Linked DNA regions of Drosophila melanogaster. The protein of the gene in region 2 purifies or fractionates together with the protein of the main gene of each other region. This does not show direct contact. Each region holds a gene or a part of one and is shown on either strand. Other genes may lie near its edges. The genes, in order: Edc3, me31B, yps and Patr-1.

The links.
Region 1: the proteins of me31B (region 2) and Edc3 purify together in Drosophila melanogaster (affinity purification with western blotting; 7 studies listed by BioGRID). This does not show direct contact.
Region 3: the proteins of me31B (region 2) and yps purify together in Drosophila melanogaster (affinity purification with western blotting; 3 studies listed by BioGRID, with this or other methods). This does not show direct contact.
Region 4: the proteins of me31B (region 2) and Patr-1 purify together in Drosophila melanogaster (affinity purification with western blotting; 5 studies listed by BioGRID). This does not show direct contact.

What each region holds. Positions count from the first base shown.
Region 1 is NT_037436.4:17,524,422-17,532,909, reverse strand, and holds Edc3 (enhancer of decapping 3), read left to right. Parts: upstream 1-3,048; 5' UTR 3,049-3,441; coding exon 3,442-4,001; intron 4,002-4,069; exon of another isoform or gene 4,070-4,210; intron 4,211-4,289; coding exon 4,290-5,204; intron 5,205-5,266; coding exon 5,267-5,427; intron 5,428-5,489; coding exon 5,490-5,574; intron 5,575-5,629; coding exon 5,630-5,951; 3' UTR 5,952-7,577; downstream 7,578-8,488. Other genes in the region: Nedd4, read right to left, coding at 1,875-2,063. UniProt on the Drosophila melanogaster protein: In the process of mRNA degradation, may play a role in mRNA decapping.
Region 2 is NT_033779.5:10,236,901-10,243,694, forward strand, and holds me31B (maternal expression at 31B), read left to right. Parts: upstream 1-2,440; 5' UTR 2,441-2,635; coding exon 2,636-2,685; intron 2,686-3,038; exon of another isoform or gene 3,039-3,184; intron 3,185-3,591; coding exon 3,592-3,691; intron 3,692-3,779; coding exon 3,780-4,158; intron 4,159-4,232; coding exon 4,233-4,880; intron 4,881-4,945; coding exon 4,946-5,148; 3' UTR 5,149-5,272; downstream 5,273-6,794. Other genes in the region: mthl15 (methuselah-like 15), read right to left, coding at 27-945; chico, read right to left, coding at 5,737-6,794. UniProt on the Drosophila melanogaster protein: ATP-dependent RNA helicase which is a core component of a variety of ribonucleoprotein complexes (RNPs) that play critical roles in translational repression and mRNA decapping during embryogenesis, oogenesis, neurogenesis and neurotransmission.
Region 3 is NT_037436.4:12,120,091-12,127,354, reverse strand, and holds yps (ypsilon schachtel), read left to right. Parts: upstream 1-2,204; 5' UTR 2,205-2,468; coding exon 2,469-2,643; intron 2,644-3,780; coding exon 3,781-4,518; intron 4,519-4,581; coding exon 4,582-4,679; coding exon of another isoform or gene 4,680-4,691; exon of another isoform or gene 4,692-5,200; coding exon 5,201-5,248; 3' UTR 5,249-5,675; downstream 5,676-7,264. Other genes in the region: Ir68b (ionotropic receptor 68b), read left to right, coding at 1-1,868; CG11560 (uncharacterized protein), read right to left, coding at 6,296-6,712, 6,767-7,264.
Region 4 is NT_033777.3:17,041,518-17,050,027, forward strand, and holds Patr-1 (protein associated with topo II related - 1), read left to right. Parts: upstream 1-2,046; 5' UTR 2,047-2,132; coding exon 2,133-2,171; intron 2,172-2,341; coding exon 2,342-3,155; intron 3,156-3,385; coding exon 3,386-4,914; intron 4,915-5,031; coding exon 5,032-5,277; intron 5,278-5,333; coding exon 5,334-5,612; 3' UTR 5,613-6,904; downstream 6,905-8,510. Other genes in the region: Trm7-32 (tRNA methyltransferase 7-32), read left to right, coding at 1-188, 246-350; bdwf (bedwarfed), read right to left, coding at 521-1,096, 1,153-1,545.

The DNA.
Region 1 (8,488 bases), on a different chromosome or scaffold from region 2:
CGTATAATCACTTATAATAGACATGAGAATGTTCTGACTGCTGACGCAATGGATTCAATGGATGTAATTGACCAGCTGTTGACTGATAAGCGGCCCATTAAGGCTATCCGCTAAGGCAATTGTGACGTCGACTGTTCTTACAAGTGCGTCGATTGGCCGACGTCACCGCTTGCCGGCTGACGTGCAAATTGGATTAAATAACCCAAATAACAGAGCTCAATTAGCGGGGGCATACAACTTTTGCGGCAAAAAAAGCACTAATGAAGATAAGCCATTCATTCATACACCTCCCACTTTTTGGACAGGAATTTCGAGCCATTCTGACAACGCTTCAATGAGTTCGACAAACAGAATTGAAGTGCCGTCAAATAATCGCTCATTGAGTGAAAGCAAACAGAGCAAACAACCAACACTGGGATACTAAAAAAGAAAGTAAAAGAAACACAAAACAAAATGTCAGTTCATAATACGTTTAGAAACTATGAATAATATAATTCTGCGAGTTCTGTTAGAAATTAAAATACTTTTATAAACCATTAAACATAGCCTAGGTATTAAAAGTTAAAACAATATTTTTCTCTCTGTGCAGCCAGAAAACCATAAAGTGTAGACACACAACATTCAAGAGGCGGCGGCCAAGAATTGTGTTGATAAATTAAATTAGCTTCGAAGATGCCGATGACTGCTCAAGTGGCTAGCATCTTTGGCAAATTAAGATAAATAAATTAGTTTAGTTTCCGTTCGGCCTGAGATGGCGAGCGAATTATTTGTTTATACAAGTGAGCAAAACAATAGAAAAGCCCATTCCAGACACTAAGTAAACAACGATGATGCCAGTTTATTTTCTGGCGGCTTCCTAATACTTTTCTTGGCACTTTTCTGCTCTTCGGAAAGTGCAAGTCAAGAAATGTTATTCGATTTTAAAAAATCCGCAAAAAAGCTACTTTTTCTTTAACATTATAAAGTAATTGGTACAAGCAAACAATGACTAAACGATAAAATGTAATGTGCTGTATTAAAGGCCCTCCTAAAAAAAGACTTATGGAAGTCACTCCTGAAATACAACTACATCTAACTTAATGGTTGACGAAATGCAACGACCTTTACACCGTAAAAGCTAGGTATTGGATAAGAACAGTTCGTAAGTTTTTCGTGCTTTTCGGCTTCTGAAGGAATTGTAGATCCCCTACTTTTCCCACCATACATATATCCCACTTTATCATCCATGAGGGGAGTGAAATCTACATGGCCCATCTACACGACTCAGCTGTTTGGCAATCTGCAGATTAGATTAGTAGTGAAAACATCGTAAAAATGGAAACACTAAATACAGCGGAGGCACTGATAAGGGCGACCAAATCCCCCAGCACCACCCGTTGATAAATACTTTTCAAATCTTCACACCAACAAAATGGTGGATACATTGTGGGCAATTCCTTATAAAAGGTTATAGGAATTGGTTGGCTTAGTTTTGATAAGACAACATTTCGGTATGCCCTTTAAAATGAGATACATTTATTGATTAGTCAGTTTGCAACGAAACCAAAACAATTGATAAGAGTATCTTATAAGATGTCATAGTAAGTAATACCTTACTATCTATTAAAAATTGATAAACATATAGGTGCCACGGTCACTATTTGGTGTTATGATAACTTAATTTGATACATACGCGTTTATATAACCCATAATTAGTTAACTGGCTTTATCAAAAATGGAATGAAATTTTTCAATCAGAGTTGGATGCGTTGTGAAATAAGGTTGTAACCATAAGGTGCTCCTACAAAATTCCTAAGATGTTAGAAGAGTTCCTAAGTTGTCCTTCAAGGTAAAGCTCTCTCTTTTCGTCGTCACCTGCACTTATGTAAACTTACCACTGCTGCCAACGATCTGCGAGGAGTGTAACCATTTCCAAATTCCTGGCGCGTTTGCTGTTGTCCCGCAACAGAGGCCGCTCGCCGGCGGGGCGGCGGGCGTGGCACGTCGCCGCCGGCCACCGAGGAAGAAGACGACGGGACGGGAAGGGCCGCCGCGGCCACCAAGCCGCTGGAACGTGCCGACATTGTTGTGTTGTTGTTGTTTGTTTCTTTTAGAGAAGCTTCTGCAATGAAAGAATGACGGAAGGAGAGAGGGTGAATATGTGCAAAGCGGAAGTGCAAATTAAGCGATAAATGACACGAAGAAGAAGAAGAGGAGGCTGCCATAAGGTAACAAGAGGGGGAAGGGTGTACAGAAGCGAAGGAAAGAAAAGCGAACAGACAACAAAGACAGCAAACAAAGTGAACAACGGTACTTGTGCTAGATGCCATCTCTGTCTGCCGCCCTGCCCCCGTGCAAGCGTGTTTCTAGTGTGTGTGTTGTGTGAATGAGGTGTGGGTGATAGAGCACAAAAGCCAAACATTTTCTTGATAATTAGCCAGGCGCGAAGCCATGTCTTTGTAGACCATTTATGGTTAGCATAAAGTTTCGCCCAAGTTTTCCACTTACGTTTACACACGCACAAACACGGGCCACTATATTTTCGCCCGATTTATGTATATATTTTGCGGTGGTATGCGTGTGGGCTCGCCTTTATCCACTATTTGCGGAAAATCATCACGTACTTCTATCACACGGCAAATTCTACACTGCTCACTATTCAAGCGATTATCACTTTGACCGCTTCGGCGGCGCACATGCCTTAATCGCCGATATCGGTCGGCTATAGGTGCCTGTATATATGTCGCACGCGCAGTATTAAATAAAATTTAAACACCGGACGGGAAAAATGCACAAAACGGCGACAAAATCGAGAACAAAACTGCCAGAGTGACCGTGTACGCGCACTGAGAACATACCACAGCACCCAGAAGCCTTAACAGTTAAGGGAAGCACTTGTTAAATTCATAAAATGGCTCGCAGGCTTTTATTGAACCAAATATTTATCAAAATAAGGTGAAGTTTCCGTAAAGCATGAAATTTGTAGTTATTATAAATATGTATATTATTATAAATTTATTAAGTAAACTAATTTGCCACGCAGCTAGTTTGGGTATTGTTCGGTATTATCTGAACACCAACGAACGGCCACACGCAAGCAGTGAAAATCCCAATGAAACGAGAAATCCAATAAGTTTTAGCGTCAATGTGTTGCAACGGTTGGTGCATTTATTGATTAAAAGAGACAAAATACCGAACCCCTTGACCGCAGAGCCAAATAATTCAAAAACACCCGACTTTAAGCCACAAAACACTAGAATCAACGGCGGTGCAGCAGCAGGAAGAAGAGGAAGAGAGGTGCGTGGTGCGTAGTTAGTTAGTGGCGAAATTGCGTATTAGAAACGAAAACAACAAGCAGCTCTGCGCGGGCCAGCAAACATTTCGAACAACCATTAGCCAGGGCAGAACAAGCCGATCCAACGTGTTGTCGCATTCGCAAAGGGAGTATCGAAAACTGATTACATGGGTCCGACGGATCAAGACTGGATCGGCTGTGCAGTGTCTATAGCCTGCGACGAGGTCCTGGGCGTCTTCCAGGGCCTGATCAAGCAGATTTCTGCCGAGGAGATCACCATTGTGAGGGCTTTCCGCAATGGCGTGCCGCTGCGAAAGCAGAACGCCGAGGTGGTCCTCAAGTGCACGGACATTCGCAGCATCGATCTCATCGAGCCCGCAAAGCAAGATCTGGATGGGCACACGGCGCCGCCGCCAGTGGTCAACAAGCCCACGCCCGTCAAGCTGCCCCACTTCTCCAACATCCTGGGCAAGCAGCAGCAGCTCCAACTCCAGCAGCAGCAGCAGCAGCTACAACTCCAGCAGCAACAGAAACAGCAGTTCCAGGAGCAGGAACGAGAACAGGATCTGCCATCGACGCCGCGGTCAAGGGCCAACGACAATGGACGGGTAGCGGCTGGCGGAGCATCGAGTTCTTCGGGCCCACGTGGCAACTTCAATTCGGCGCTAAGCGATAAGATGCATCAGCTGAAGCTAATCGAGACCAACGGCTCAAATGGCACCCTTAGGTAATATGGCCCATTAAACGATTGTGCAATGCCAATAATTTAAATTAATTGTTAGCTCTTTATAAAAAAAAAAAGTATGAAGATTTTTGCAGTCAGCACGATTGTGTTTATTTCATTTCATTTTGAAGCCATCTTTATGTTTAAACTTACCAACCTTGAGATACGAAATGAGTAAATTACCTTTATTACTGATAAAAAGCAACAGTCGTTTCAGATAGGTCTTGTGCCAACTGAGCGTCGTATTTAAAATAGGTTTCATCTAACTTTTATATTTGTTTCGTCATCCAGAACACCACAAACATCCCGTGCGTCCAGCGCTCAGCAGCAGCCGCAGATATCAACGACTCCCAACAGCGTGGCCGCCTTTTTTGGCAACATGATACCGCCGAAGGTCGAGGTGAAACTGGGCTCCTACGTGAGCAACACCCGGGAGAGTTACTGCAGCAGCAGCGGAGATAGCGGCGAGGCAACTGGTTTGTCGTTGGGCAGCAGCAAACCCATAGATATCGTCAGCAACGGAGATGGATTTTACAAGCAGACGGCAGCCTCGAGCTATGGGAATACAAATGGAAATGTAAGAAGGAATGGCAATGCCAATAACAATGGAAATGGCACCGGAAATGGTTCTTATACCAATGGAAATGGCAACGGCAACGGGAAGAACAAGCGGAACAGGGTGCGAAGGGAGAGCAGCATGCGGCAGCAACAGGTGCAACTGACTTTTGGCAGCGAGGCGGACGATCCGCTGATCCACGAGGATTTCGATTTTGAGGGCAATCTAGCGCTGTTCGACAAGCAGGCAATTTGGGACGACATCGAGTCGACGACCCAAAAACCAGATGTGGTGCGGCACATTGTGAACAATCATCATCATAAGCCAGAGCAGAAGTATCGGCACGACGAGAACATCCTGGCCAGCAAACCACTACAATTGCGCCAGATCGAAAGCATGTTCGGCGGCAGCCAGGACTTTGTGACGGACGACGGTCTCATTATACCGACGATTCCGGCTTACGTTCGGAATAAAATCGAGATAAGTGCCGATAAGGCGGGCCTCTCTCTGCAGAGGCAGATCGACATTTTGGCGCGCGGAGCCAGTGATCTGGCCATTACACTGCTGGGCGGCGCCAGGCGATTGACGCCGGCCAACAACCATCAGTGGCCGAAGATTGCCATCATCTGCGATGGCGGCAAAAATATGAGGTGATTTAATCAAACGTATATGGACATAACTTCAAGGCAGTGACTAACATAATTCCTTTCAGAACAATTAACATTGGAGCAGCCACAGGTCGCCAGCTGGCTTCGCATGGGCTTACTGTCCTGCTGTACGTGGAGCAGGCCAAACTGCTGGAGCAGAACAGCAGCAGCCCAGAGATTTCATTGTTCAAGGCAACCGACAATGTCATAGTTCACTCAGTAGACGGTAGGTTACTAATATAATAAAAAATATAAATAATCGATTACTGAGCTATTTACATTTTTCAGCCTTACCCACGCCAGATCTTGTGATATTATCAACTAACACCGCTAATTTATCGGATGCGATCAGGAAATGGCTCAGTGTAAATCGGTTAGTGAACCCCATTTAATGTCGAAAGTAAATTACTGTTATACGTATTTTTTAGCGCTTCGGTGCTTGCCATAGACCCGCCGCCGTGTGGCATTAATGAGGTTGCTATCAAGTACTCAATACTACCCATACTACCATTAAATGGCATATCAACAGCAACAACATCATCATCCTCTTCGGCTGCCGCCACACCAACTCCCATTGCTAGCACTTCGGCAGCAGCATCGGCTACCAAATCAGCAGCATCAACGAACAATTGTGGCAAATTGTATTTATGTAATCTAGGTATACCGGATAAATTCTATCGTGATTGTGGCATTAAGTACAAAAGTCCGTATGGACATAAATATGTGATACCGATTCACTCAAAGGACTGAAACAACGACAACACAAACACCAACATTTACAACAGCAATCAAACTGCAGCATCAGCAACAACTGCAATCCATTAAAACAAGAATAAGCACATACAACAAAAAACAATAACAATGACACACCCGCACACTTGTGATGATCATCAAGTCCAGTTTCCTGTGAATCTAGCTCTTAGTACTCTTCTCTCATATATTACTCAAGTTAAACATTTTGTTCTACGGCGCGTACACATATAGTTTTTAGGTTACTTCACGCATCATCCCTTTAGATACGCCTAGTTATTATAATCTATATTTTCTAAATTAATTCAAAGCTGCCGGCCAAGTGCCAAACTATGATTAGTTTCCAACTGTACCCTATAGATTTTTTTTTCATTTTAAGCAACGACACTTCTTGTTCAGCCCTCTGTTTTGAAAGCTAGTCCAGCATTTACAAGTTTATAAAGCTTTAGTTTAGGCGCACGCTCTAAGGAATTTTTCCAACATTCAATCCAAAATTTCCTAAGGTTTTAATTTAATTTACAATTCACTGTCCTTCCTGCAAGTGGTCTTCATAATCGTAAACAACAAATCAGGCGAGAAATTGTTTGTAAATAACTATACAATTCTATGGGGAAAGATAAGATCATGTTAATTACTATCAAGTATGCGCAATAAATGCCAAATTCAATGTCTAATTTTAAGCATTAAATCAACAGCAAAAGCAACAACTATTGTACGATGTAATATGGAATACAAATCCAAGTATAAATCAAATCAGATTAGTTAAGTAAGTTTCGTAAGAATACAGTGTTTAAAAGTTTAACAGACCATAACAAACAAAACAAAACAAAACTTATAAAATGAGAAACACTTTATATTATGTATAGAAATAATTAAGATGTGTCTTTAAGGGAAACTAAACAAAGTCGAGAGCATAATTTTTTACCCATCGAATACTAAAAAGAAACCACAACACAATACTTATAATATAAACTGTAGAGCGATTAATTTTATATAAGATTAAATCCAATCTAATAGTGCAAAATTTTAGAAGGTTGCGACTCAGCAAGGCAACCAAAAACTCAAAACAAAAAACCCAAATTGAAACTACTTGTTGTATAAATAATAACTATAGTTGTAAACTCCAATCATGTTGATGATCATCTGCAAATTCAATTTCCAAACCCATCAAATTATATTGTAAAAAGAGAGTTGAATGCGGATCAATCAGCCGCCAGGCGGATCCCGCAGTGACTGTTTTGCGTTAGGAGTAGAAACGATGACCAGACCTTAAAGGGATGTTGGTGGCGAGGGAGGATGAGAAGGTTTTTCCAATACCACAGTAACCACAGATTTCACAGCCAAACAAATTAACACCAAGACAAGGAGAAACAACAAACAACCAGATTTTGGTAACGCTTTAAAATTAAAAAAAAACATCTATTTTTGGGCCAATTGAAATTGTTAAACAAAGAATGAAAACCTAATTTTAAATTTATACTTAAAAGACAAAAATTGTACGTAAATTCTTTTTTGGAACCAGAAATCGGGCAGAAAAAAACGGATACAAGAGAAAGTCCTTTCCAACGTAACAGCAAAATTAAAAAATACAAAACAACACCGAGAAGCCTTCTCATGGAAGAAAACAAGCTTTACAATTGTGTTTTATTTTGGGTCCTATATTAATGGCGTTAATATAAATTATTAATAGTTTCTATACGGTATAGAAAGCGAAAAGGATAAAGATAAATTCTTGATGGGCTGTGGCATACGCATCTGTAAGCAAGTACATCCGGCCATGTTGCCGAATTGTTTCACTATACCATAGACTATCTATTTGAAACTGATATGTTCCCATTAGGCTTACCTTTATCTTGTTATTGATCGAGTTAACAGATATTCCAGGTATCTTTAAAGGAATACTTCGCATAGCACGATTATAAGATTTCCAGTCAAAAATATGACTTTGATGAACCCTTGCGAATGAAATTTAAGAAACTCGTTGACTCAGCTATAATTCAAGTGCAATTTTATTACATTCCGCTTAGATCAATAAAGATTAGTTTTAATTTATATCTTATCAGAGTGTGTCGTGTGTGGTGTATAACTTAAAAGTGTGTAGAACAGTGTGTTGACTTAGGCGTAGATAGATAAAACAATAGGTATTGTTAATAGATATATGGTAGTTAAAATCAGTTGGCATTATCGATCGATTCTTACCCACTGTCAGGGCCAAACACAAACAACTCTTTACACTGCTCTCATAATTCCCACTCTAAAAATCCTTGGCTGGTCGAAAAAATTAAACCAAGAACAGCCGTCATCGATGATTAAATTTGGTATTTGCTTGATTGTAATCAGAGATTAGTGGCCCGAATACTCACATCATCATATAGGCATGTACTGTACTGATCTGAGCCCCCGCGGCGGCATCGATTCTGTGGTGTAGTATGTGCCTATGCAATATTAAGAACAATTAAATAAAATAGCATATTAACTTATGGCAGCACTTTGTTGCTATGTTTATGTTTATGTTTATGCACGCAGTTAGGCCAGGG
Region 2 (6,794 bases):
TAACTGCAAAACTGGTGACGACATACCTGAGGGCTTTGAGAAGTTTGCGTTGATATTTAGGTTCTGAAAACCCTCAAATTTGAAATCGGTTCCATCGATCTTGCAATAGGTACTGAAATTTCCTTTTGCATACATTTCACCTTCGGCACAACAACGACGAATACAGGGTATTTTTTGGCAAATTTTCATTTCCTGACAAGCACGCACCAGAAACTTCTGTTCCGGTAATGCACCTCTATCCAAATCCGCATCGTCGGAGTCGTGAATAGCTTCGATGCAAAACTTGGAGCTGGGCAAACTGTTGGTTCCATCTTTCCAAATCAACGAATTATTATGAAAGTGCACTTTTCCGGAGGACAACGTATATTCCACGAGTGCTCTGTGGTCGGAACAGTTTAGGGTGTTATCAAAAAATATAATTGGACTGCTGATGATGGAAGTATAAACAAAGAAATCGCTTTCGCCCGGTTTGCATGTATTATTTTCGGAAACGTAAATAAATCCCTGTGGGCAGCACTTGTTTACAAATCCAACACTTTGAGACGGCACATTCTTTTCGAATTCACAAGATAAAACGATGAGACGTCTGTTTAATAGTCCAATGCATGAGTTATTTCGCAAATTCAAGGTGCGTTCACCTAAATCACTTATACTCAGACTGCTAAAGTTCTGGCACTTTGATAGTGCGAATTGGCTGTGGCCTGAGTCATTGATAGCCTTTTCTAATCCAAGGCCCATTGGTGGTATCAATTTGCCTATCACTTGGGCAAGATCCGGAAGTTCACTGATGTTGCTTGCGGCGGAAGCGCACTGGTATATTTCCGCATTGTCCACAGTGCGGCGATATTTGAATAGTAACGAATTCGCGGCACAGCATAACTGAACGGCGAGCACTTTTGAAATGCCACTTAAAATCAGGCACACTAAACTTAGTCCGATGTTCATTGTTTACGGCTCGTCTATTATACCCAATGACCGATTTGCGAGCTTGTGTAATGTTTGTATCTTTTCTTAGAACGGACTTTTCATATCTTATCATTGAGGAATCGTTATCGGACCATATACACTTCGAACCGCATGCAGTTGCCGGATTTAACGAACTGAACTGAAGTCTTCGCGATTCCTTCGCGAGCAAATGCGAATGTTTATGGGTAAACATTTGGCCCGCACACAGACGGACATAGCTCGACGTATATAGGCAATACATTTATGGATTCTCGTAAGCCTATACAAATAAGTTATGCCCCATGGAGTGCCTAACACTTAGCATGCTGGGGGTGCTCACGGATGGTATCAATACACCCAAATGGCCGCATATTTATGTAGGTACTTTGTGGTTCTAACACATATCTATCTATCTACACAATTCAATTGATGACTTTGTACACTAGCTTCTGACGGCAAGACAAATGCGACTGCTCGTGTTAACATTGTGCAAAGCTCATTAAGGGGAAATTGATAAGGTACACAGATACACACATCCATACACACTTATGTACAGAGGTGGGTGAGGTAAGCAATGGATCCTTTAATCGTCTAAGTACTCTACGCACCATAAATCACCTGGAAAATGTCAACGATACGCAAGTATTTATCTTTTCAATTAACTTAAGTCTAGTTATTAGCTGACTTTTTTCCATATATTCTTTCATGACACAAACTAAAATCGCAAACATAAATGTCATTTTTATAATATACAAATCTCCTCTATCGCAAGTACTATTTATTTATTCTAATACAAATATATTAATTTTGTCATTCTCCAATCGGAATAAGTATAAATAAAGTATAAATCCATTGGTTAAGAAAAGAAAAATCAAAAAAATAATTTTTATTCATTTTAATGTTATTAGTTAGTTTCTAATGTGATCTTTCATTAAATATTTAATACTTATAAATTATAAATGAAAAGATATTCATAAAAATCGCAGACAATCAAATTAAAGCTTAACTCAGATGTTCTTCTTTCATACACGTTCGAAATCTTCCTGTCGTTCCTAAGTCCCGTTCACACAGGCAGCTGCTTCATCTGAAATGCAGTTCATATATTGTTTTTGTTATAATTAAACGGTGATTTTAACCCGGCCGGAGTGGAGTTGCTCATTGGAAATGCTTTTCTAAATTAATTTAAATTTAAAATAACGGCAACAGCAGCTAACACAACAAAAATGTGAAATATTTGGGTATACATATACACCTACAGGATTTATAAGAGGAAAATTTAAATGCCGATTTTTTTTAAATAAAATAATTCTTGCCTAAATATGTGGACTAATTTTAAAACGTTCATTTGTTTTTGTTAAGCCATGTATAAATTTCTACAATATTATTGTTCGTCATTTTGAACTTGCAAAATTTGTTTCATTCCAACGTTCCAAATCAGGGCAATACATATTTATTATCTACACCGAGTGAAAATATTTTCCGAGTCATCAGAAATTTGTATTATTGATAGCATGTTGTAAGGCGACTCGACTATTTTGAAGCTAAGTGAAATTTTATATTGAAACGCAAAGTTGAATACGTGAGCAGTATATGAAAATCGGTGAATACAGTGACTTCATTAGTCAGCCGAAAGCAAAAGAGAGCGAAATACATTTTTTAAACAAACTAAACTAAAATTTCACTGTGAATAATGATGACTGAAAAGTTAAATTCTGGGCACACTAATTTAACAAGCAAGGGGTTTGTATATTTTATATTTATTTATATTTTTTTTTTCACAAGAGGACCCAAGCTTGGTGTCCCAACAAACATAATATGCATGCGTATTCATCAGCCCATATTTATGATTAGATGCCGAAAAGACAAGCCGTTTTATAGTTTAGAACGTCAATTTTTGCAAATGATTGAGCATGTAAAAGCCGAAGATCTGTATTTTAGCAACATCATGTAGTTAGGCTGTTTTCACTCAACAACTAAACCTGCAGAACATGTTATCTAATGAAAAAAACCAAACAATGTGATTCCCGTATTTATATTACTTTATTGTATGTAGTAGCGGAACATGTGTACATATGTATAAAAGAGTTATCTACATATGTAGTTGCACTCGTGGACTTATTTACCGCTAAAAATGTTGCTAAATATAATTGCACTGACTTAAATCATTTAGAAACTAACACTGTATTTAGGTAAAACTTCTATTGGGTGATTCTCAACTTTTGAGATCAGAACAAAACAGGTATTTTTTTTTTGCATTTCAGCGCCATGAACAGTTATTCGTGGGCTGCCATTTTAAAATTTGGAGTAGCGTTTCTTTTTCTCTCCTCCATAAATGTGCGAAAGAGAAAAAATGTTGAGTTCAATCGCTTTTAGATTGTTCAGTTCTTAAATATTCAAGACATTATCCATCTTTGTTTACGATTTAAAATCAATATTAACATTATTATTAATATACATTAATACATGGCTTAGACTTTAGCTTAAAATGCACTTTACATAAAAGAACTCATTTACAAAATTTTAAAAATCAAAAATTTTTAATATATATATATGCTTATATATGCCATCCATATATATATGGATGTGAATGACCTACATATATCGTAATACTTTAATTACCATTTTATTTTTTTTCTTTTCATCCAGGATTATAAATGATCTTCAAATTGCTGGAAACACAAGTGACGATATGGGCTGGAAATCAAAGCTGAAGCTGCCGCCAAAGGACAACCGATTCAAAACAACTGTGAGTTTGCCGACAAATCAATCGGAATTTATACAATTTAAAGCACAAACAAACTAACAAATAAATGTATTGCCATTGCCTTACTCAGGATGTGACCGATACGCGAGGCAATGAATTCGAGGAGTTTTGCCTTAAAAGAGAACTGCTTATGGGTATATTCGAGAAGGGATGGGAGCGCCCTTCGCCAATTCAGGAAGCAGCTATTCCTATAGCATTAAGTGGAAAAGATGTGCTGGCTCGGGCCAAGAACGGCACAGGCAAGACAGGAGCCTACTGCATCCCAGTTTTAGAACAAATCGACCCAACCAAGGACTACATTCAGGCACTTGTGATGGTCCCCACCCGAGAGTTGGCGCTACAAACCTCACAGATATGTATTGAGCTGGCGAAACATCTTGATATCCGGGTAATGGTCACAACGGGAGGTACCATTCTAAAGGATGACATTCTTCGTATTTATCAAAAAGGTGGGTTTTGATGATAGTTAAATAACCTAATATCGGTTTAATTGCAACTTTCTAAATTTTCCCTACGCCTGCAGTACAATTAATTATTGCCACTCCCGGACGAATATTAGATCTGATGGATAAGAAAGTTGCCGATATGTCGCATTGCAGAATATTAGTTTTGGATGAGGCCGATAAGCTATTGTCGCTTGATTTTCAAGGCATGCTGGATCATGTTATACTAAAGTTACCAAAGGATCCACAGATCTTGCTATTTTCCGCAACATTTCCACTAACAGTCAAGAATTTCATGGAGAAGCATTTACGCGAGCCTTACGAGATCAACCTGATGGAGGAGCTAACACTGAAGGGTGTCACTCAGTACTATGCATTCGTACAGGAGCGCCAGAAAGTACACTGCTTGAATACGCTCTTTTCGAAGCTGCAGATCAATCAGTCTATCATATTCTGCAATTCCACGCAACGTGTCGAGCTATTGGCCAAAAAGATCACAGAGCTTGGATATTGCTGTTACTATATACACGCTAAGATGGCCCAGGCACACAGAAATCGAGTATTCCACGATTTCCGCCAAGGACTCTGTCGCAATCTGGTGTGCTCCGACCTGTTCACCCGTGGTATCGACGTGCAGGCCGTGAATGTAGTAATCAATTTCGATTTCCCACGAATGGCAGAGACATACTTGCATCGAATTGGTCGCTCAGGACGTTTCGGTCATTTGGGTGAGTTTAATTGCATTCTCATATTATAGTTTAGCCTATTTACAATCTTCGTTTCTCATTTTAAGGTATTGCTATTAATCTGATAACCTACGAGGATCGGTTTGATCTGCATCGGATTGAAAAAGAACTTGGAACCGAAATAAAGCCTATTCCGAAGGTCATAGACCCCGCCCTTTATGTCGCAAACGTTGGCGCATCCGTTGGCGATACTTGCAACAACAGTGATCTGAATAATTCTGCGAACGAGGAGGGCAACGTTAGCAAATAAAACGGATATGCCCTGTGTAACGCTAGTATCTGAAATAGAGTCTAAATCGTGGAATCAATAAAAACAGATGAACTATTTCAGAAATCAAAATTGTATTAAATAAATGGAAAGCAATTCAATTTTTAAATGCGCTCTTAAGATAACTGAAATGACTGGTCTATAAAAAAAAGGCTCGTTCACTTTGTGGGTTTTGGTGCTGAGAAGTATTAACATTAACTATTGGGGATTTGGTAAGGAAAGTTAGTCGAATGCTATTAAAAGGCAGGCTAAGGTCGTTTAATATCAATCCAGTTTTTAGTAAAGGGTTTAAATCAAATAAAAGGTCTAAAAGTAATTACAGGATTTTCGGACAAGAGAAGTACACTTGGATCAAGCTAAATCCTAGATTTACTTACATGGAAGAATTACCATTGGCAATTACCCGATTTACTAGATTCCAAAAAAAAAGTACAAAGGGATCATTATAATTTAAATAAAATTTATTTATTAGCATCCAAAATTGTAAGCTTTGCTTGTCAGAATATTTACAATAAATGTACAATATTAAACAAATCATATATATAGGATAGGGTCATAAATTTCAAAACTTTACGTATTAAATATGTTCGATGAGGAGGAAGAGGAGTCGGATTGGTCAAAGTCGATTTTCGCATAGGTATTCCCATCCTCCGGGCATGCGGACACCGGCGGCGATTCGCGTGATCCTCTCTTCAGGTATTTAGCTGGATTTTGGCCACTGCAATGGGGAAGATCTAGGCTGGCGTAGTGCAGCTCCGGCTGGGATATGCGAGACGACGACCTTGAGGGGAAATTCAAATCTTTAATCTGTAGAATGTTCTGTGGTGTACTTGGATCTGTGCCAGTGCTACGCGAATCGGCGGCGGCGGCTGGCTTTGCTGAATTTATATTGAATTTGGTGAGTGAGCTGCTGCTCACCGCGGTGGCGGTGGCATTATCGGGAATCGTATTCACACTCTCTGTAAGTCTCTGCGAACGCTCCAAGTTATCCTTGTGTATACCCTTTTGGTATAGCTTCGATGAGATGAGTGAGCTGTCGCTTTTAATTTGCAGAATTTTGTAGCCGGCTTCGTTAAATTTTGTGAAATCATTCGATTTGTCCTTGATTTGTGTGTAGTCTTCGCTGCTTATCGAATGAACCAACTTCTTTTCCTCATGCCCGCCTATATCCAAATTGTTGTTCTCGACAATCTTGTCGGCCAGATGATTATTTAGCTTATCGCTGCTCTGCGCGCACACTTTCTCGCAATCAATTTGATTTGCTGAATGAACATCATGGCTTTTGCTTGTACTCTCGACATTTGTGGGTTTCGAGCTAAAGGTGTTGTCATTCAATGGCGAGTTCGACTTCTTTTCCTCGCTTCTGCTGGGCTGTTCTCTCCATTTCTCAGCGGATATATTGTATGTGCTAATTTTGTTTAAATCGTGCACTGGTGCGGCTGTTGCGGTGAGTGGCGGTGCTGTCTGATAGTCGGATAGCTTGAGTTTCTCCACTTTCATTGGCAGGCAATTCGAACTGGGAGTGTATCCATTACCGACTGGCTTCATCTCGAGGTAACCATCCTCGGATGTGATCGCAGTGTTATTTAGTTTGGTGCCATTGAAAATGTCCTTTTGACTTGTGGCGT
Region 3 (7,264 bases), on a different chromosome or scaffold from region 2:
CTGGCATTTATGCCCTTGCCGAGATTGCCTGTCGCATAGCCGTAGAGCAGAATGTCCAGGTGACCTATCTGTACCGCTGTGCCAGCTGCCCGGCATCCTTCGATGCGGATTACTCTGCCTTGGAATTGGATCTCTATCGGTGTGTGGGCAGTAGACTGCCCGTAATCACACGGAACATGGAAGCACATGAGCTGGAACCATTTAGACGAACGGACAGCCTAAGCATCTTTCAAATTCCGGCTGCCGAAAAGGGTGATTCCTTGGTACGCCGCATCCTGGACATGTTGAATCCTCACCAGAGGCGCAAGCATATGCACAAGTATCTGTTTGTTTGGCCAAATGCCGGAAGGCATCAGTTACTGCGACTTTTTCGCGGCAGTTGGGCCAAGAAGCTGCTCTACGGATTGGCCATTACCGGCAGGGAAAATGGCACCTTTGACTTTGATCCCTTTGCTTGGGGTGGTCTCCAAGTGATTCAGCGGCTGGATGGCGAAGTGCCGTACGCAAGAAAGGTGAAGGACTTGCGCGGCTACCCATTGCGTTTCTCCATGTTTACGGATCCGTTGATGGCGATGCCCAGGAGTCCTGTGGAGACAGCTGGCTATCAGGCAGTGGATGGAGTGGCGGCCCGAGTTGTTGGCGAGATGTTGAATGCCTCAGTAACATATGTCTTCCCGGAGGATAACGAATCCTACGGTCGTTGCCTTCCGAATGGAAACTACACCGGCGTGGTCAGCGACATAGTCGGTGGTCACACCCACTTTGCACCCAATTCCCGCTTCGTGCTCGACTGCATTTGGCCAGCGGTTGAGGTGCTGTATCCCTATACCCGTCGCAACCTGCACCTGGTCGTGCCCGCCTCCGCAATCCAGCCGGAGTACCTGATCTTCGTGCGTGTCTTTCGGCGAACTGTGTGGTACTTGCTCTTGGTCACCCTTTTGGTTGTGGTGCTGGTCTTCTGGGTGATGCAACGTCTGCAGCGAAGAATTCCCCGTCGCGGAGTCATCCAGTTTCAGGCAACGTGGTATGAGATTCTCGAGATGTTCGGCAAGACACATGTGGGTGAACCGGCGGGCAGGCTATCCTCCTTCAGCTCGATGAGAACGTTCCTCATGGGTTGGATCCTCTTCAGCTACGTCCTGTCCACCATCTACTTTGCCAAACTGGAGTCCGGATTTGTGCGACCAAGCTACGAGGAGCAGGTGGACCGAGTGGACGATTTGGTACATTTGGATGTGCACATTTATGCGGTGACCACGATGTATGACGCAGTTAGGAGCGCCCTGACGGAGCACCAATACGGTCTGCTGGAGAACCGTAGTCGCCAGCTGCCACTGGGAATAGCCACATCCTATTACCAGCCGGTGGTCCGGCGCAGGGATCGACGAGCGGCCTTTATCATGCGGGATTTTCACGCCCGTGACTTTCTGGCCATCACCTATGACTCGCAGGCAGAGCGACCAGCCTACCACATCGCCCGGGAATATCTGCGCTCTATGATATGCACCTACATCCTACCAAGAGGATCGCCCTTTCTGCACCGCTTGGAATCTCTGTACAGTGGCTTCCTCGAGCACGGCTTCTTTGAGCACTGGCGTCAAATGGATCTGATCACCCGGGTTGGTGCGTCGCCGGATGCTGAGGAGTTTCTCGAGGATCTGGGCGACCAGACGGACACGGATTCCGGCTCCAACGAGTTGGCGATTCGTAACAAAAAGGTGGTTCTCACTCTGGACATCCTGCAGGGCGCCTTCTATCTCTGGTCCGTGGGGATTGGCATAAGCTGCTTGGGATTTGCAGTGGAGCACGCTCATTGGTTTTGGCGGAGACAGACACTTCGGAATGCGGTTGAAGCTAGAACAAGCTAACTAAAAATATTAAAAATTACTAAATAAAAGGTACATATATGTTTGTTATTGTAAATACTATACTAAGTTTTCAATAAATTTCACCGCTGTTTAGTTGGACATGTTGTTTTATACATTTTAATGATAAAACTGTAGTTTTATATTATTCTAACCATTTAATGAATTTAACCATTTATTCCAATTAACCTTTCTTGTAAATTTAAATGTAACGGCTTTTTATGTTGTTATGGCTTAACATTCCGCGCGTAACAGCACACTGGAGACCCCCAGTATCAGAGCATCGATAGCACCCATCGATAGTCCGATCACCAGCAACCCTGCCTCCGGCTGTCATGTTTCACTTCCGGAGCTTGCGAACAAAATAGAATCGCTAAGGCAAAGAAAACCCTGCGAGTGGCGAGTGTTTTAAGATCACACTCAAAAACAACATCCAAAGTGGTTAGTGGCAGTTGAGAGAGTGCCCAAGACCCCGAATACCAGCCGGGCAGACACGAACAACACCAGCAGCAGCAGCACCACCATCATCAACAGCAGCAGCAGCATTTCCCGCTTTTCGTTTTCGTCGTCGCCGAACAACAAATAACAAAACCACGACAAACGATGGCTGATGCCGCGGAGAGTAAGCCACTGGCCGCCGAACAGCAGCAGGCGCAGCAGCAGCCGGAGCAGCAGCAGAATCCGCCGAATCCGCAGGAGCAGGATCACGAGCAGGAGCCGCTGGACGAGCTGCAGGGACAGCAGGGCCAGCCCGCTCCGCCCACCAAGGAAGTCATCGGTAAGGCTGAAACTCGCATGTTAAACCCAATTCCCAACCAATTTCATTCATGTGCCGCGAACACATGGCGGCTGCTACCAAAATAGCAATGAAAAAAAGGAGGAAAAAAGAACAAGAAACATGCCTCCCTGTATGCGTGTGTGTGTGTGTGTTTTGAGTCTTAAAATATACGCGCGTCGGCCATTTTGTGCGGCCAAAGGCAACGCAACGCATGTATATATGTATGTGCACGAACGCTCGCGCCGCCGGCTAACCAAATTGAAAATTCTGCCTTTTGCCGGTCGTCTGTCTTTCCACCCACCCAACCACCAACCCCACCCGCTTCGCCTCTTTAAAAAATGCCCCCCCATAGGTGTACACACACACACACATACACACATGCAGAGCGAGCCAGGGCAACCCAATTTGTTAATGCGCGCGCAGCGGGAGTGCGAACGAGAGGGCAGACAGCCGGGTGTGGATGTGTGTGTTCATTGTTTTGGTACATCTATTTGCACACACACACTAAAACGCATGGAAGCATGGCTATAAGGCGATTTCAAAACACGAGACCATAATGCAACCAATAAGATACAATAATATTCGGCGACTATTACAATATATTGCCAAATAATTTGGGATGCCACTATATTTTCGCGTAAATCAACATATTATATGCATACTTATATGGTTTATTCGAAATTTTGGTAACCATAGTTTTAAATAATTGTTAACCAATAATTTGTGGTTATAAAACGTCTTTCAATGTTATTGCACGCTTCAATGAGTTTTCAAACTGCGTATTAGTTTAGTTTCAGATGTATTGCGTTTTGCCCCTCCTTTATAATAAAAAAAAAATGCAAAGTATTATCTCAAAACTACCCCTTTTGTATAATTTAAGTTTCTTATGTAGAATTATTTGTATTTTAGAAGTCAGCTCGCTGTGCATCCCTACTGTTCCCTAATATTTTTGTTGCATGTATAATGTTTAAAGGATTATAATATTTGATAAAGGAATGATTGCAACTGATCCCAAACAAGTATTATACCATTGAAATCAATTAAATGATCACACGTTTGTAGAATAAGTACCGCCAAAAATATTGAATCCCACTATTATCCCCAATTGTTTATAATTTCTACTCTTTCCCATTGCAGCCACCAAAGTCACCGGCACCGTCAAGTGGTTCAACGTGAAGAGCGGCTACGGCTTCATCAACCGCAACGACACCAGAGAGGATGTCTTTGTGCACCAGAGCGCCATTGCGCGGAACAACCCCAAAAAGGCGGTCCGCTCGGTGGGCGACGGTGAGGTCGTTGAGTTCGACGTGGTCATTGGTGAGAAGGGCAACGAGGCGGCCAACGTGACCGGTCCCTCCGGTGAGCCGGTGCGGGGCAGTCAGTTTGCAGCGGACAAGCGCCGTAACTTCCGTCCCTGGATGAAGAAGAATCGCCGCAAGGATGGCGAAGTGGAAGGCGAAGACGCCGAATCGTCGGCCCAGCAGCAACAGCAGCAGGCGGCACCAATCGTTGACGGGCAGCCGCAGCAGCAGGTGCAGTCCGGCCCGCGTCAACCACGACAGAACTTCCGCCGAGGACCACCCGGTGGACCGCCCGGAGGACCTCGAGGTGGCCCCCGAGGACCGCCTGGTGGAGCTCCCGGTGGCCCCCGGCGCTACAACAACTATTATCTGCGTCAGCCGAGACGCGGCCTGGGCGGCGGTGACGGCAGCGCCGAGCCCGGTGTCCACGATCAGAATCCCGAGGGTCTGCAGCGCGGCGAGGGTCAGGGACCACGTCGCGGTGGAGGCCCACCGGGCGGACCCCAGAGGCGCTTCTTCCGACGCAACTTCAACAATGGTCCACCGCCACCACGCCGCGACGGCGGAGAATACAGTGAGTGAACTTTGTGCTATTAGATAATTGGTATATATTATTATTAATATTATTCTGTTGCAGTTCAAGGCCAGGGACCGCCACGCCCACAACAGCCACGTCCACGTCGCCAGAGGAAACCAAATGGCCCTGGCGGTGGTTCGGAGCAGCAGCCAGAGAAGGTAATGAACTAATCACCAGCATCATCACAACAGCAGAAACAACTGAAACATCTTCGCCGAAACAAACCTACGATAACAACATCTAAATTAGTAAACATCAGCAACAGTCAGTCGCAAGCATAACAACAAGGTCTACAATAATAACATGGTGAAGGCGTCTTAAAAACTAAACAACTAACTAAAGTGCATTGTGTAGATGCATTCGTAAATAACCACTAACAACCAGAGCAGCCACACGCACCGACACCAAAAGCAGAGAAACAGCGATAAAGCGGAGAAACCACCCTAACATTTAACACTTTACACTTAACTTGGAGGCTTTGGGTCTAACATAACATTCTAATACATTTAGTTTTTAGTTACCTAACCTGTGACTAATTGGCTAACAAGCAACACACACACACTTAATTTACAACCGAAACCAGCATTTTGCTTTCATCCCTTCGATTTATTTTTGAAGTTGTACTTACGTTAATGATTTCTACCCCCCTCGCCATGTTTTCCCATGTTCAAATTCCTAGAACGGCGCTCAAGAGCTGCAAAATACAACCACAGAGAGCACTGCATAGAAAAGGATCCGAAAGGATCTAAATCGTCAACCGACAAACAAAAACATCGTCAGCAGTAGCCGCAGTATATAACTACAATCGCAGAAAAACAGCAGCAGCAGCCCATCCTCAACATCAGCGACCAATGCAACATCATGGTGCAATAAGATCAGCAAATGTTGCAGCAAATTTTGCTAAATGAGCCGCCGCGTTTTTTCGGTTTGTTTGCTTTTTGTTTAGTTTCGTAGGGCAGAGAATCAATTGTACAACTCATACCACAACAAAACTAACATCCTCAAAATTTCAATCAAATTCAAAAACAAACAAAAAATTGTATAAAATTTCCATCAAGCCTGGCCGTCGTCAAAAAATTGCATAATTGTGGAATTTTTATTGTATGAACCAACAAACCAAACACGAAAACATAAATAAATTTCAATTACACTGCAATTTAGATGGCGCCGGTATACAATTTACTTTAATGATTATTACCATTTTTTATTTATTTATTCTTGAAAGCATTGTTACCCGTTGTGCGTTAAGCAAACCCATAACTCTAAGTTACTCGATTTAAAGATCATTAAAAACGTAAACCTATACCAATAACCACACCACCACTTTGTCCCATTTATGCATCATCCGAAATCGAGAACCATAGCCATCGGGCGAAAAGAAATGAAAGCAAAGCAGAGCAAACAAACAGAAGAACGAAATCATGTAAATCACAGCAAACAAACATACAAAAAAAAACTGTAAAAGATGCAAAAATATACAACAAACGCAAGATGGCAACAAAGGAAAGTAAAAAAAAAAACTTTAAAAACGTATTGGAAAAAATAAAAAAATTGAAAAACACTTTTTGGTATTGTTTATTTGTGTAAATTCTAAACTAAAGTGTAGTTTATAAATGTTTACTTAAATCGCTATCGAATATATTATTTTATATATTTATTCTAATTTTTATTATTTATTTATTGGGGATCTACGTTAAGTGAGCAAATCATTGAGTCTGCAATATAAATAAATTCTTAAGCTAATTTACATATGCGGTATTGGCATGGTGAGGTGCTACAGGTTTGTGGTCAAGGATGTGACCGTGGAAATGCTCAGTCGCTCCAGACGACCCAAGACCAGTAGTTCATCTATGGAGCGCTTGGCGTAGAACTTTTGGTCCTCGTTCAGCCGCAGGAAGGCGTGAGCCCAGGCTTTGGCATAGGATTCCGCTTCGGAAATGGCATTGGCATCGAACTGGGCGACACTTTCCGTTGGCTTGGGTTCGATTGCCTCACCGCCAGCATCGGATGTAGTATGTTGGATGTCACATAGGTCCAGCTCGATGGGCACCTGATCTTCCGCCTCCACAATCTCAATCTCGTCTTCCGGCTCCTCTGGTTCAGTCGACAAGTTCTCCTCGGAGAAGAGCTTCAGCAGGGGTCTGGAGTGGGAGGATTCCAATTCACGTTTTGATTTCAGCTGCAGGATAATCTAAATTATGTAGTTTCAGCTTGACTTGTATGGGTATAAAAGTGCAGTACTTACAGTCTGCTCCTCCTCCAAAGAAGCCTCAATCTCATCATCCAGATCGCTGTACTGGGTCTCCGGATCCATGGTGACCTCATAGAACTGCTCACACTGCGTAGAATAGGATGTCGGCCGCCTGGTCTTCGGTTTCTGGACGCGCGGCGACGGTTGGCTAGCTGGTGGCGCGGGATCATGGTCGTAGGAGTGACTGCCGTCGGTGAGATGGCCGTTCTGCTTGATATACCGTACGTGGCACTTGTGGATGCGCAGATTGGAGGTGGTGCCGCCGGTGCTCTGCATCACACGCTTGCAGCCCATGCAGAAGTATCGCCATTTCAACTTGGTGCCGTCCGGACGAGCGATTTCCCGGTAGACGTTCCAAACGGAACTGCGCTTGTTCTTCTTCACCAGCCGATATTCACCGGAGTTGATCTTCATAAGGATGTCCAGCTGCGCCTCCATGCACTTCTCCTCCTCGGGGGCGTGTATGAAAAACATATTTCGCCTCGCAATCCT
Region 4 (8,510 bases), on a different chromosome or scaffold from region 2:
ATTTTTGCCTTCCCGAGGGCTACATTCCTCAAGTGATTAACCCTGCTCGCGATGATATACGGCTACTGGCACAGAAAACAGGGTCGGAAGTAAACCGTCGTCTAGTTCCTTTTATAGCCTGTGGAGACTTAAATGGGTTGAGTGATCCCGAAGAGGGCAAGACTTCCTCCTCAGATGAATCCAAATCAGTAAGTGATGTGCCTAATACTTTGCTTTGTTTTTTTATTCAACCATCTTTCCCACAGAATTTAGAGTATGTTTACGATGCTGTTATGGACGACGCATCTTATCCCCTGGAATTTAAAGAGATTCTAAAGCAAGTCTATGATGAACAACGCCATATTATCTAAATATTTATAAAATAAAACCAAAAAAATTAAATTAAATTTGTATATTAAGTGGGCTTGGGCCAAGCTAAAAGAAATGTGATAAAATTAATCAAAATATTGAATAACTTAGATTATTTAAAGATTAGGTTATTAAGACTACCAAGATATTACTTAATTTTGTGCATATCCCGTTATTTGAGCGACAGCTTTTTTTGCTCGATTTCCAATAGTTTCTTTTTCAGTTCTATTTTCTCAGCCATTAACTGTTCAATTGCCAAGTGATGTCGCTTGTCCTCGTACAGCTTCTGCTTGTACAGGACAAAAAATTCATTGAGTGCAAGTTGAACGCTGTTGGCGGTATCGTGCACCATTTCTAGGTTATTGCTAATCTTGTCAAGCAGTGTGGTCTCCTCCTCCGCCAGTCGACTGCTGGCCAATGCGGCCCGTTTGTTAGATTGCAGGTAAAGCGGGTCAATGTCCGTTTTGTTCTCCTCCGGTTCGTAAACGTACTCGGCGGAAGTCTGAAGGGCGCCACCATCTTCTTCCGGGACCACATCCTCTACTTCGTCCACATCAAATTCCGTGGTGGAATTCTCATGCATTTCATCGTCGGAGACCTTCATAATAATCTGACTTACATCCTCGTTTAATCTACACAGTGTGGCTATTGTTTCCTCCGACGAAGTAAGACTGGTGCCAAAAGGCATGTTCTGCATCTCATTCTTTTCCACCTTTCTCAGGATAAACCTCTTCCAGTCCTTTAAGGCCTACAAACAAATCAACTTATAATGCAAGCGGTTAGAAAAAAAGTAAGTTAGAATACCCTTCTCCAGGTGGCTATATCTTTTCGCGGCGGACCGTGGCTATTAAGTTCGGATGACAGTTCCTCCCACAGCGACTCCAGATTGCCCCGTGTTTCCCACGTCGGATTCTGAAGCAGACGCGGATGTTTCTTCACGAATTCTAACAATATCAGCTCTTGCGTTGAGTTGCGCGGCTTGGCTTTGTTCCGGTCGATGGCGATGGTGGTCTGCGGCTGGAATTTGTACTTGGAGTTCCGGTTGAGTCCCGATGTGGGGTGCATCCTGTTCATGTGCTTGCTTAGATTCGTGGTGGTCGTCTTGTAAGAGAGCTTCGCCTTGCAGATATTACACACCGCAAACGTGTCGTCCACCGCCCGGAAAAAGCACCAGATCTCGCTCGTTTTCCGCTTCATTTCGACTAAGTTGTTTTGGAAAAGGAAACAGGCTCGTAGTTCCGTCCAAAGCAATAGTTCAAGAACTAGTAATTTAGGGATGAGCTTGCGGGCGCTGATTTCAAGTTTCGAACTAGTTCAAAATATCGAATACATTGAAGGAGTGCAAATGCACCTTAATTAGGGCAGATTTTTCATTGATCAGTAAAATCTAATGTTGTTGACTTATTAACCAGTCGTGGTAAGTCCCAAACTGAATAAATAAATATGCAACATACGAAATTTGGCAGTGGTTAAATCATCATTTTTTTCTAACATCACTGTAGCAAAATGCAAACTTATAAATTTAGACAAATCTTCAGTCGTTCACCTATTGAAAAAAAACGTATGAAAAAAATATATATTTTAAATTTGCATGTTAATTCCAACATTTGTAATATGATAATATTTATATGCGAGCGAAATTGATGTATTGTGGCGATAGTCAGAAAACCATCGACGTCAGACTATCGATAGTACCATCGATATTTTGACAGCTATACTGCTGAGGTGACAACTTGTCACTGACAAGTCATGATAATTTTTTGTAAAGCAATAGATTTATCGCCATGGATGACTCGTTTTTCGGCTTTGACACGAATCTACCGGTAAGCAGCGGTCCCGACATTGCGGCTGCAATATCCGGGATAGCGGGCCGCACAGGGGTCGGCAAATGCCCAACGCACACTTTTCACTCGGCAAATAAGGGGGCATCGAAGGCCACCGGGGGCAGAAAAAGTAGGAATGTCTAATTTACTTGCTTCAATTGTTTCTCCAGGACGAAGATGGTGGCGATGGACGCATCGTCGAGGCGGAATACGATGCCCTCAATGACGAAACCTTTGGATCCGCTATAAATGGCGACTGGGAGGAAGCCCATGAGACGATGGTACGCCTGGGCGGGAATGGCGAAAGGGTGCGGAAGCGACCCGCGGAATCTAGTGGAAATACGGATTTTGCCGATCAGGGAAATGGTGCCTTCCTGCGACACGCTAATCCGCTATCATCGGCGCCCTCTTCAAGCGGCTCCACTCCGGCCCCTTTGAATGCCCCCTTCCGACAGTCTCGTCACATAGGGGACTCGGACTTGGAGCTAAACATTTCCTCCATGAAGTTGGACGACATGGACCTGTCCTCTTTCACCACTGATAGCGAAGCCGGTGGGCTGAGCAACCGCATTAAGCTGGACTCCGGGGTCTGGGGATCACAGCCGTTTCCCAACAACCAACATTTGTTCCGCGAGCCTATGCGCAGCGCCTTCAAGCCACAGCAGCAGCAACATCAGCAGCACCAACCACAACAAATGAAGCCACCGCAGGAAGCGAATGCCAACTTTGCACTGAATCCACAGCCTTTTCCAAAAATTACAACTCTCGAGGATATAGAGCGCAATATGATCATTCAGCAGGCCATTCCGAAACAACAGCAGCAGAGCCAGCAACAGGCGGAACGCAAAATGTTTGATGATTTTAGTCTGGGTAACAGGCAGCAGGTGCCTACACCAACCATGTTGCAGCAACAGATGTTGCAGCAGCAGCATCATCAGAAACAACAGTCGCAGCAGCAGCCGCCACAACAAGCGCAGCACAAGGGTAATTATATATTAAAACTAAAAAGTATTGATGCATACAAAAACAGGCCTCAGTATTTAAAAAGAAAACATGTCCAACAAAAAGTATAATTCCTAAAAATATTTATTTCTTACGAATCTATTTTTGGGGACAATTTTTAAGACAGATTTAACCATTTAAGGAACAAACTTCAAGTCCCTGATAGATTTCTGCGACATATGAAAATAACACCATTTAACAATTCATTGCAGTACCCCCTGGCTTCTTGGGCACGCCGCACACCTCTCCACCGAGGCCAAATTTGGGTTTCCCCGGACCCGAGCTACTGCCCACGCCATCGTCGCAGCAACAACTAAACGGTATTGGTGGCAACCGAGTGCCGCCCGGATTTATTTACCCGCAAGGTCTGCCCGGGAATATTCCGCAATTGCCCCAGCATCCTCTAATGCAGCAGCACATGCCGCACAACTTTCCACTGCCCGGCGGCAACCAGCGACCTCTACCCAATCCACAAGCTCTGCCCACGGCCCTGAACAATTTCGCGATGCATCCAAGCTTCAATGCGATGCGCGCCGCTGGAATCCATCCAGGGGCTTTTATGCAACCTCCCCATCCGCACCAGATGCTGCCACCGCGAATGCCGCCGCACCCGCTGCAAGCTGCCACAAGTCTATTAGGTCAGCAGCCACCGAATTCCATGTATAACATGTTCAACATGCGACTAGTGCAAGAGATCCAGCAAAACCATCCGCTGCTTCAACAGGCTGCTGTTGTACGCCAAATGCAACAGAGCAGAGCAGGATCCGTGGCCAGCGATCGTCAGAGATCGCAGGCGCAACAGCAGCAACAAGGACGACGTCCAGATGGTACAGGAAATTACCCGCTGGAAGAGTACGATGAATATGCCAACCTAATGAGCACGCGCGACAAGCACTGGCTAATCGGAATCCAGCTTTCGCAGCTGAATACGGACACGCCGTATATCGACGACTATTACTACACGGTGTTCAGGGAGCGCAAGGCCCAACAGAACGGGCAAATGCGCAACAGTCAGGCGCACAAGGACAACCAGTTGAATCATCCGCTTACTCAGCCACGCGGCCATGCGCAGCTTATTCTCGTACAGTTGGGCAACAAGAATGGTACTCGCAATGGACACGGACGTGAGCGACGCAACTCGGAGAACACCAACAGCACGTCAGGCAACACGAACAATGGATCAGGTGGTAACAACAACAACCTGACAGGCTATATATTCTCACCACTGAAGTTCGAGAACTCACTGGGAAAGCTACAGTACGGAAGTGTGACAGCTCCGCGAAAAATTATCGATGCTGACATTATGAGTGGTGAATCAAATGCCGCTGCTGAAGCCAACGCAACTTCTTCATCAAAAAGCTCGACTCCGCTGCCCACCTCCGCGAGCCATGATGTAAATCCCAGTAGCATGCGGAAGTCGCGACACATTTTGCTTCTGATTGAAACACTGTATCGCTATCTGCTGAAGTTGGAGGATTTGGAAAGCCCAGAAGTGATGGCCACCATTGAGCTGAAAAAGAAAAAGGAAGCCGAACGGATCGCAGCCCTTGAGCAGCTGGAAATGGCCAATAAAACGCCCGAAGAACGTGCTGCTGAAGCCGCCAATCCGCAAACCATGAATCCGCAACTAAAGAACAAGTTCAACTATGAGGTAGAGACGAAAGCTGCGTTGGTCAATAAATTAAAGGCAGGTCTGGCCTTCGACAAGGTTATCGCCATGATGAATGTGCGCAAGGGAAAGGTGTGTACTTTTTCTTATACTAATTTTAACAAGTGCAACCAAATAGAATTCGATTTATGTTCTAGTGCTATACGCATGAAACTCACTATTTTATTTAAATCAATCTTTCCTTTGCAGATACTTATTAGACGCATAATGCCCTTTATTGCGGATCAAAGCATTCGCTGGGTCGTGTGGAGCGGCGTCTTCTGTTCCCTACAAACAGTGGTGAAAAAGGACAAGGACGACGTTGAAGGCGTCTTGTACGCTCTTTACCCAGAGTTTAAAAAACACGTTAACAAAGCTACTTTCGAACTCCTAGTGAGCATTTCATCTGCTATTACGCTGAATGACAAGAAACTTGCTGGAATTTTTTGCAGTCGCGTAAGTTATCCTCAGTATTAAGTAATAGATACGCGTACTAATTATTAAATTGGCAGTTTGGAATCCTTTCGCTGGTTGCCCTGATACTTCGCGCCGAGGAAATCTACGTCTCGCGAACTGACGCAACTCTTAGCGAGGAGAACAGGCAAAAGTGGCGAGAATTTCTGGCACAGGTTGCATCCTGCCTCAATCGCACTATTCAAAACCAGACCATCTCGGCAGCCATTGAGTCGGATGCAATTCAGCCACTTATGGACCACTTTGAACGGTTTAAAGATCTTAAACTGGATGCACTCTTAGCATTAATAACTGAAGCCAGGCATCAAATTGATTAGGTTGCTTTGACGGATTTTCATTTAACTTGATTGAAGCGTTTCAAATAATTGTGAAATTATATAGCCGAGTTCACTTTGCTTTACTCAATTACGCATATGTTTGTATAGAATATGTATCCAAAACTTACATATGTACGATCGTTTTTACATTTACGCATACTACACAAAAATATTGATACAGGGTATAAAAATCTCATACTGAAATTGAGAAAGTACTCGACTGTCAATAAATTTTGATAATAGTTTGTTAGAAACGTTCTTTTATCCAAAATTGTGTGCACTGTACAAGAAAGGTAGAGAGAGGAAATCATGTTTTATAAATATAATATCGAATGGTAGGTTTTGCTCATTGTACATACTTATATCATTTTATATTCGATAAGGAGTACTTTTCCGGCATTTTCTGTAGAGATTTATAAAGAATAATTCACCCCACAAATTATTCTTTTTTTTTTTTTGTCATCGAATTAACAACTGGGCTCTCCTATATCTTGTAATCACGATTGTAAAAGGAATATCATAAATACGTTTTAAAATTTAAAAGCACCGATTTAATGCGCGATCCATGCATACTCATTTAAATGTGCATCCTTAAGTATCTGCTTATTTTCTGGTATTTGTAAATATCGGTTTAATGAAATTTTACTATACTACCTTTTGGGTTTCATTGAATCAAATTTGTGCAAGACCCATTAAATATAGTCGAGACATTCAGCATAAATGTGTACTAAATAATTAGCATTGTGACAGGTGCAGCCGTATTTATTATAACAAAATGATCAAAATTGTGATACATTTTGACTTTTAAACATAAACGAAGTTCCGATGATCGGAAAGAATTAGTTTAACACACAAATACAAATTTGAAATTAGAAAACAGCAATTTTCACAAAACTTCTGTAACGCAACGGATAGATATTTGTTGTAAAAATCCGTTGTGGAGCATTTTAATTTTATTTCGTTTTTAATTGTATCTACACCATCATTCAATGTTGTTTAATTCATTTTTTTTATTGAAATTCATGTTTTGTATCTGAAAAAAATTCTACTCGACTGCAAACGTCTTGCAAATACTTTAAAACTATGCTTTTTTTTAGCAAACAAGAGTCAAAATACGATAGCTGTCTAAGATTGCAAACACATATACAATAATTGTAGTTTAATTTGTATTTATCACATACAAACACTTCAAACCTTTTCCTATAAATATGTTCGCTGATTCAAAAGTAAATTTTTTTAAATTGATATAATTTCCGAGAGTATAATAAATAAAAAATACCATTTCACAGAACACACCGAAACTAAAACACCTTATTTTTTTGGGGGGGTTTTGAAAAAGATGATATTTAGTTTAGTAAGCAGTCTGATAAAAACACATTAGTTGTCCATTTCAATGATATTTTATTTATGGATTTTTTTAGCTTTCCTTCAAATTTATTGATTTGCTTCCAATTGGTGTTTACGCTTGTGCTATTAAACGGTTTTTCTTCTATAATAATATATTAATCATTTGATTTCTATAAACAATTGTGCCGGGGGGGGGGGGGGGTGCATCATTAATGGCGAACGTGTTTTGTGTCTGTCTGTTTTTGTTTTTGGCGCAGAATCAAGCGTCGAAGTGTCGGCAGTTGCCTGTCCGTAAGGGACATTTTGTTGTGCGGAGGCGCCAAAGTGCGTAACAAGTGGCGGCGGCGCGCTCGGGAATTGTTGCAAATTTCTGAGTCGGCGACGCCAACCACTGGCGACGGTCACCAAGACGACAACTTGTCGGCAGCAGTCCGCCCAGCGCGAAGGGATGCGAAGCCCACTCTCCCGATCCCACCCCACACTGGCAGAGAGCATGCGGTACACTTGGAGAAATAATGTGACTTCAGGGTTAATTTTTACTCTGCAATTCGAATGAGCTCTTAAGTTATTAGGTTTTGCAGGAAAATTTTGATATAATAAAATAAAATAAATTATTCATTAAGCTGTTATGCATTTATTCTTTAAATTCACAAAAAAATATTAAGCAAAATTACGTTTATTTATATATAATAAATTATAATAAGTTCCTCAACTAATATCCTTGCACGCCTAAAATATGTCGATTTCGCATAACCTCCCCAATTTCTCCGAGTGCATCCAAAGGCTAGACTTAGACAGACGATTGTGGCGACCAGTCGCCCGTCGTTGCTTCTTCGGCGACGGCGACAATGGCACGACGACAGGCAGGAGGACAGGACTCTGGCTCTGCCGTGGAGCGGAGCAGACAGTGCCGCAGTTCTGGGCAGGACCAGGACTCAGCGGATGCGGATACGCAGAACTTTGATTTGCGAACGGGCCAAGTGTGCGCCACTGGGCGCCGCTATTATTGCCATTGCCACCAATTGGCGCGCCAAACGCCGCTGTTCTCACAATTAGATGCGAAAATAGCCGGCGCGTCGATGATGACGAGTTATTGTCGCGTCTATCTGGTCGTTGTTTTTGTTGACAACCCCACAATTGGTTCGTTGGCGGCAGGAGGGGATCGTCTTCAATACGCTTCTACCAGGGAACCCATTAATGTAATGTGCTGATTTAACTGATCCTGACATACACACAGCCAATGTACTATGAATCTGTTGTTGGGGCGAAGATAGACTTTGATCTGGACAACGTGAGGTATGAGTAATATGCGAGGCCTATCTTGGTCTATTATTTAATTTAGATTGAATTAGATACATTGAATAAATATCGCACGAAATCATCATTTTATTTGAGAGCTAACAAGATCAGCGACCTACGGTGCGACCTCGTTAAATTGGATTTAACCACTTAATTACCGGTTAATGAGCGTCGGTGTCTTGATTTCTCCTTTGACTGGCCATTAGGTTGTGCAAACTTTCCCATCGCAATCGGAGTGTCTAGGGCTCGCTG